2 linked regions of the Caenorhabditis elegans genome follow. The protein of the gene in region 1 interacts with the protein of each later gene in a pairwise test. Each region holds a gene or a part of one and is shown in the gene's direction. Other genes may lie near its edges. The genes, in order: cbp-2 and pcn-1.

Evidence for each region.
Region 2: the proteins of cbp-2 (region 1) and pcn-1 interact in a two-hybrid assay, tested with the Caenorhabditis elegans proteins (2 studies listed by BioGRID).

The regions. Positions count from the first base shown.
Region 1 is NC_003281.10:9,921,260-9,925,490, forward strand, and holds cbp-2 (histone acetyltransferase), read left to right. Parts: upstream 1-1,914; 5' UTR 1,915-1,965; coding exon 1,966-2,061; intron 2,062-2,106; coding exon 2,107-2,233; intron 2,234-2,364; coding exon 2,365-2,481; intron 2,482-2,535; coding exon 2,536-3,013; intron 3,014-3,057; coding exon 3,058-3,208; 3' UTR 3,209-3,214; intron 3,215-3,336; 3' UTR 3,337-3,541; downstream 3,542-4,231.
Region 2 is NC_003282.8:4,047,259-4,051,283, reverse strand, and holds pcn-1 (Proliferating cell nuclear antigen), read left to right. Parts: upstream 1-1,835; 5' UTR 1,836-1,848; coding exon 1,849-2,007; intron 2,008-2,054; coding exon 2,055-2,168; intron 2,169-2,642; coding exon 2,643-3,161; 3' UTR 3,162-3,347; downstream 3,348-4,025. Other genes in the region: wrt-5 (Warthog protein 5), read left to right, coding at 617-763, 830-939, 986-1,091; cdc-73 (Cell division cycle protein 73), read right to left, coding at 3,795-4,025. UniProt on the Caenorhabditis elegans protein: This protein is an auxiliary protein of DNA polymerase delta and is involved in the control of eukaryotic DNA replication by increasing the polymerase's processibility during elongation of the leading strand.

The DNA.
Region 1 (4,231 bases):
TGCCACATCACCAGAAAGCCACTGATGCTTCCAGCTCCAGAAGACGTCTTCAATAAGCCAGTGCAACTTTACTCAAACACGGAACAAATGCCGAAGTGACTCCAGGACAATGTGAATTCCAAATTGGAACCTGCGAAGGAATCGATATGGGAGATCAGTTGTGGATGTCGAGATACATTCTGCACAGGTACATAAATCAATCTTGTTCTTATAGTTGTATAATAAAATGATTTCAGAGTTGCTGAACAATTCGGTGTCTGCGTATCGCTTGATCCCAAACCAAAGGTCACCATGGGAGACTGGAACGGAGCCGGATGCCACACCAACTTCTCCACCGCCGAAATGCGTGCTCCAGGTCCACCGATTGAAGCCGCCATGACAGAACTCAAGCGGACACATTTGGAGGCGATGAAGGTGCACGATCCATGGTGGAGAAGATAATCTTCGTCGTTTGACAGGACGTCATGAGACAAGTTCGACTGACAAGTTTCTCGTGCCAATTGCGGATGCTCAATCCGTATTCCGAGACAGGTGGCTGCGGAGGGAAAGGGATATCTGGGGGATCGTCGTCCGTCGTCAAACTGTGATCCTTATCAAGTGACTGCGATGATTACACAAAACATGCTCTTCTAGGATGATGTAGATATCCGGAACAAAAGAGTGCACATATTTGAATTGAATAAAATAAAATATTCATGAGAATGTGTGCTGTTTTTTTTGTTGAAACTTTCAACTTGAAAGTGTTGAGATAGAGAAAGTTCCAGAAAACACGGTAAAACCCTTCATATTAGCGGGGTCTGCACATTTGATTGGCTGATGCTACTCGCCCGGAGTGAAACTTTCCGTCAAGGTGTCAAAATCTAACTTAACCTGTGATATATGTTTCGAGCTGTTTCCCATTTTATTTTCCTTTCAAACGATTCGAAAGAATAATATGCTGGGAAAAGTCAGTACATTCATTTCCATAAACCACAATTTATTGAAGAGTTCACTTAAACAAGTGGCAATTTTGAAGAGCTGCTTTTGTTCTCATTCTATGGATCCATAAGTACTGATGCTGCGTCTTTTGTACTGTAAATAAAATTTGGCAGAATAAATTGCAACATTTAATTAATAGTCCATCTATGCATTTTTCCGCACCGAGTTTTATAAATTTCCACACTCTATATAGTGTTTCACTATGTTGAACACAGTACATCAATGGCGTCAACAGCAAAAACGATAATTATCATTCCGGTTACTTTCTGATTTCAAAATCGCAGTGTATCACATGCTAAATATTGATAACATAAACTCTTTCATTTCATTTCGTTTTTGCTCATTCTTAAAATGAGTGATTCAGAGCATAATTTTATCGATTTTTTATACACTGCTGGGCCATAGTTCTTACAAAACATTGCCTTTTGTGTATAATTTTCCTGTCTTTCCTATTATTTATAAATGTGTTAAAAATGTACAACTCAACGACTGATATTAAAAACCAAATTGTGATACAATATTCGTCAGTTCTCTCATTTGTTACAATCTAAAATGGATAACTATTTAGATCTCTTCTGAATGATTTTGATTCAGTTTCATTTAGATTTTGCCGTTTTGAAAATTTTTCAGGCAAACCGTCAGGCTGAAATTACCCAATTTTGACACCTGGAGGTTTTTCTTTAGGTTTTGTCGTTAGGACTTTGTTCATTTTTGAATCAAGCAAATATCACTGATTTTCGCATTTTCAACCTTATAATTTTCTGTCGTGTAAAATTGTTAGTTTTTGACTATCACTAAATATTTTATCAAATAAAAATTTTTCTACGTGTTTTAAGAAATTTATAAAATAATAACGGATTAGCACAATTAAAGTTATCAACAAAACTTGTTTGTGGAAAGAATTATGATCGAAACTGTAAGATAACATCTGTTTAGAACAAAAAGCCGTAACATCAGCTCTGGACGGCAACTTCTTTTGGATTAAGCATGCTTGCACTGCAGCAAGATCCCGTGAAGCAGAAGCTTGTTCAGCAACAACTTGTTCTCTTACTCCATGCACACAAATGTTCACTACGTGACAAGGTATGTTTTAAAGCATATTCCGGTTTCCGAAATCAGCTATTCCAGGAAAATAATGAGTTTGCTGCCAGGAATCAACCACTTCCTCATACTACCTGTAGATTACCCCATTGCCCAACTATGAAGGAAGTATTGATTCACATGACAAACTGCAATGTTGGTCGTTTATGTCATTGTAAGTCTATTACGAGCTGGAAAGAGTTTCGAACATTTTCGCAAGAACAAGCGCCTATTTCCACCAAAAATTTCGCTTCACACTCTAGTCACTGCTTCAGCTACTACCTCACAAACTAAAAAAACGTTCAGTCGCTCATTGTGCATCGTCTCGTCAAATAATAGCTCACTGGAAAAACTGCTCGAGGGAAGATTGTCCTGTCTGCACACCACTCAAAAGGGCACGCGATGTCCCGTTAATATTTTCATGTAAGTTCTATCCATCCTACTTCAGAACATTTTCGAATAATTGTTAATTTACAGTGCCCCATCTGGCCAATCTGATAGGCACCAAAGGAAATTCTTATGGAAGTGCAGATGGTGAAGTAGTTCATCAAATCGGGGTGTCGACAATGTCAGCGGGACGTATAACAAATGGAAATATTTCAAACTTACCACCGCCAAATGTGCCGGTTCGTACAAAGGAATGGCATCGTCAAGTTACAAATGATCTCAGGAATCATATTGTCGGAAAATTGGTCAAAGCGATATGCCCGGCACCAGAGATGATGAATGATATTCGGTTAAAAGATTTGAATGCCTATGCCAGAAAAGTCGAAAAAGAGGTGTTTGAAACTGCAATAGACCGAAAAAATTACTACCATTTGTTGGCTGAGAAAATTTACGAGATTCAAAAAGAGCTTCAAGAGAAAAAGAATTCAAGACTTAATCAAGGAGCTGCCCAATCTCCGTTGGATGAGTTTGCTCGAATGCGTATTGATGAAGGTGGACATCAGTTAAGGTAGAAATGTAACATCAAACCATATATAACATTTTTCATCACAGAACCAACCAAGAAACTGAGACAAATAGGCAAAATCAAAGCCAACAACCATTAATGGATATCAATGTTCAGTTGAATGCTGCAAAGACAGAGGAAGAACTCGAATTGGTATTTGCCGAACTTATGAAGAATCCACAGTTGTTCCATGCTTGATTCTCTGTGAGTTCTGACTCCAACTCTTAACGCATCTTACTTCTGCTCAGAAAGTCTTGATCAAAAACTGATATCATTCCAATGCGGATCCAGTGTTTTTGAAGGTTCCTCTAATAGATTATTTTCAGATGCGGGAAAATCAAAGATGTGCTGCATCAACAACATAAATTTTTCGTAGCTATATTAATTAATATGCTGATTATTTCAAATTGACTTTTCAGAATTCGGTTGGTGTTTGTTATATATATAATTAAATGTACCTTTCGAAAATTGTAAAAGTGAAAAATGTGAAATGCATATACATTGAATACATTGAATAAATACATTGAATTGAATATGCTAAAGTATCATTTAGGGCTGTAAAAACTACTAAAATATTTGTGGGTGCGTGCCAGGTGTAGCTGCATCATAACTGCCTTCCTACCTATGCACCAGGGCTGTGCGGCAACCGGCAGCCAAGTTGCCGGTTGCCGAAAAGTTGCCGGTTGCCGAAATTTTTCGGGTTCGGCAACTTCGGCAATTGCCGGTTGCCGAAATTTTTTGAGTTCGGCAACTTCGACAACTGCCGATATCAATGTCAAACATTTTATAGCTCAGAAAAAAGCATTCAGAGAGCCTAAAAACTTCGAAAATTTCACTGTAAACGAAAAAAACGACCATACTTTTTATCCAAAACACTCAAAAATATAATTTCAACAAAACAAATTTTGAAACCTGGTTGCCGGTTGCCGAAAAGTTGCCGAATTTTCGGCAACCAAATGTTGCCGGTTGCCGAAATTTTTCGGGTTCGGCAACTTCGGCAATTGCTGGTTGCCGAAATTTTTTAAGTTCGGCAACTTCGGCAATTGCCGGTTGCCGAAAATCTCGGTTGCCGCACAGCCGTGCTATGCACCAGGTACCTGCCTCTCTGAAAATCCTTACGCATATTGAAGTACAGATTTAATCAAAATGCCACCCTCTGGATCAGAAATCACTGGTGTGTTTTTTTCAGTTTCCAATTTTCTTTATTTTCTCGGATCCTAT
Region 2 (4,025 bases), on another chromosome or scaffold:
AGATTTGACGCCAAATTGCAGAAAAACTTGGAAAACCCGGAAAACTAAAAAAAAACCCTATTTTAACACATTTTTGTCATACAGAAAAATATTTTAAATTAGTTTTTGAAACATTTCAGAAATTTCCAATCACAAGCCGACTACCGTAACCCCAAAAACCATATCTTACGAAAAAATGCACAGAAAATCGAAAAATTAACCCGAGAATTGTAAAAACGACGGTTTTTTTTCGAAAATTAGCAAAAATATCCGTACTGTAGCTCCATTTCCGTGCAAACACCGACTACAGTAACCCAAAGCACTGGATTTGACGCCAAATTGCACGAAATGTCGCAAAATGGCTCCAAAATGCGAAAATCTTACCGTTTCTAATTGATTTTTTGATATTTCATCAAATTATTGTCGAACGTTTTGAAAAACGATTTATTCTTAGCTATTTAGCCCATTTTTTAATTAATTTTGCTTACTGTAGCCCCGTTTTTGTGAAAACACCGGCTACCGTACCCCAAAACACTAGATCTTGCCACAAAATGCACAAAAAGACGAATTTAGGGTGAAAAATCGTGCAAATCCTAGTAAAAATCATGAAATTTATCATTTTCTCAATTTTTTCCAGGAATGCCCGGAACGAGCGACTTCAACGACATGCTCCACCAATTCCTCGTGGGTCGGGGGAGTAACTCAACATTCTGACGGAAGTCTGCGGCTTATGTGTTGTGAATATGACCTTCTTCCCACATATTCAACGATTCAGTATGAGAAAGTAGGGATTTTTGGCGGGAAATTTGAAAAAATTGGGGGAATTTTTCATGAAAATCCAAATTTCCAGCTTACTATCCGCACTGGCGAGTATTTCGAGGGCGATGAGCAAATGGAAGGGGATGTTGTGACGGCTTTTGACCTGATTGGCAATATTGAGCAAGTCAAAGAGCCCGATGGGTAGGTTTTTCTCGATTATTTCAAAAATTTTGCTCGGTTTTTGCAGAAAATACTCCTACAATCTCCTCATCTACCGCTATCATTGCGGAAATATTCCCGACACACCGCCGGCATGGTACATGAAGAAACAGTGGCCGTATTGGGAAAAATGAACGATTTTTCGGCGGGAATAATTTATTTTTTTATGTTTTTCTATGCGTTTTCGGGTGTTTTCGGGTTGCTAAGCGATTGGTTGCCTTTTTGAATCACTAGTCTTGGTTTTTGTTGTTTCTGTGAATGAATAATTGGTTTTTCGAGGTTTTTTTGTCAAACATGCCTAAAAAATAAATTATGACGTTTTAGTTGATTTGTTTGTTCTTTAAACGTCTGAAAATAAGGTTTAAATCTAATTTATTAATTATAAAATTCGTCAAAATAAGTTGCGCGTCAAATTATATGTATTGTACGCAGTGTCAAACTCCAGGCCTCAGTTTTCATGAATTTACCAGCGATTTTTGTTATAAATTTTTTTATTGAAATTTAAAATTTTTATTTTTCAACCAATTTGCCTCGAAAATTCGTTATTTCCCCATTAAAAACCGCTTTTCTAAAGTGTTGCGCGTCAAATAAAATGCCTGGTACGCAATGCACGGAGAATGCGCAAAGGACGACTGCTGGCGCACTTTTTGAATGCGGTAAATTGAGGCGCGAAGTTTCATTCGAAAACGCGCGCGAAACTTCATTCATCGCACTTTCTCCGTTCATTTCGTCCTATTTTTTTGTGGTTTTTCGCGATTTTTTCGCTTTTCTGAGTGAAAAAATAATTTTCCTTCGTTTTTTCAATGAAAATCCGCGGAAAACCCATTTTTTCCCGTGAAAATCCGCATTTTTCGCTGTATTTCATAATTTTTATTCAGATCTCCCGTCAAAATGTTTGAGGCCAAGCTCGCCAACGCCGGACTCCTTAAGAAGATCGTCGAATCGATCAAGGATCTCGTCACCGATGCTCCATTCGATTGCTCCGAGACGGCGATGAGCCTTCAGGCTATGGACTCGTCTCACGTCGCGTTGGTTTCGCTCAAGTTGGAGGTAAAATTGGGAAAAATGAAGAAAATTAGCTAATTTTCCGTGTTCAGGTCGGCCTTTTCGACACATATCGCTGCGATCGGACCATCAACCTCGGACTTTCGTTGGCTAATATGTCGAAGGCGCTCAAGTGCGCCAACAACGACGATACCTGCATGCTGAAGGTGATTGTAAAAGCTTTAAATCGAAGAAATCAGCATTTTTCACCTTGAATTGTGGATTTTCATGCGAAAAATCGCTTCATTCGGACTTTTTCGCCCGAAAAATCCGAAAATGTGGTTTTTCGGTAGTCAAAAGTGGCAAAATCAGTTTTTTTTTTCGCACTAAAAATCATTGAAAATTAATATTTTTAGAGACTTTTAGGCCGAAATAGTCTGAATTAATCATTTTTCGTTCTAAAAATTATTAGAAATTCACATTTTTGGCGGAAATCAGCATTTTTCACCCGAAAAATCACTGGAAACTCAAATTGTTATCGATTTTTATGCCAAAATAGTCCGAGTTTTCCATTTTATGCCTTAAAAATCATTAGAAAACAACATTTCCGCCTGAAAAATCATTGAAAATTCAAATTTTTTATCGATTTTTCCCCGAAAAATTCCAATTTTAAGCCCAAAAATTACCAATTTTCATTGCAGTATGAGGAAAACGAAGGCGACTCGATCATCTTCACATTCGCCGATCCAAAGCGTGACAAGACCCAAGACGTGACAGTCAAAATGATGGACATTGACAGCGAACATCTCGGGATCCCGGATCAAGACTACGCCGTCGTTTGTGAGATGCCTGCCGGCGAGTTCCAGAAGACTTGCAAGGATCTGTCGACGTTCTCCGACTCGTTGAACATCACCGCCACCAAGGCTGGCATCGTGTTCACCGGAAAGGGAGACATCGGATCTTCTGTCGTCACCTACTCCCCATCTTCCAACACTGACGATGAGACTGAGGCTGTAACACTGGAGGTCAAGGATCCGGTTAATGTGAACTTCTCGATCAAGTACATGAATCAGTTCACCAAGGCGACGGCACTTTCCGACAGAGTTCGTCTCTCTCTGTGCAACGATGTTCCGGTCGTTGTCGAGTATCCGATCGAGGAGAATGGATATCTTCGCTTCTACTTGGCTCCAAAGATTGACGACGACGAGAATATGGACTAAATTTCCCCTCAATTTCCGTTAAATTACTCATGATCTCTCCCTCTCTCCCGCTAATTTTCACCTAATTTTTTGGTATATTTCTAATACTTGTGCTATACCTCTAATTTTTTTCTCACTTTCTGCTTTCTGAATCGCACTACTCCCCGAACTCTTTTGAAGAATTTTGACAAATGAATTTAACTTGGGAATTCAAAGTGTCTAGTTTTGAGCCAGTAATCATGAAAAAAAAAAAAGCCGCGAAGCGACCGCTCCGCGTGGCCAATGGAGCAATATTTCGAAAATCCTAGAAGGCAATTTTGGCCAAAAAACGAAACAATGTTTAACTGGAAAATTTGAATTTTTCTCCAAAATATTACCTTGAAAATTCACGAATTAAAAAATTTGTTGCCGCGACGCGACCGCGCCGCCTGGCTGACGAAAACTGACGAAAATTGGGCAATTTTCCGCTTGAAAATCGAATTTTCTCCACTCCAAAAATGACGATTTCGCCACGTGGAAAATGATTTTTTCGCTAAAAATTTGAATTTTCGATTAAAAATTGTTTGAAGAAAAATGGCATTTTTAATAAAATCAAAAGTGATGAATAAATAAATTTGCAAAAAATGAAGAAAAAAAGAAAATTTCCGAGAATTTTCAGAGTCCAAGACGGGCGGTGAGATGTGGCTTGTTCTTGCGTACAAAATTCTCGATTGTCTCCCAAACTTGACTGAATCGAGCCTTATCCATGTGCCGTTTCGTCGCCGAGACTGGAATCTTGTGTACATTCCACTGCATCACTTGAGCCACCGGCTTATCCTGGTCGACGTGGAAATGGAATGCAGGAATGTGGGTGAAGATGTCCGTCGGATTTCCATTCCATTTCCA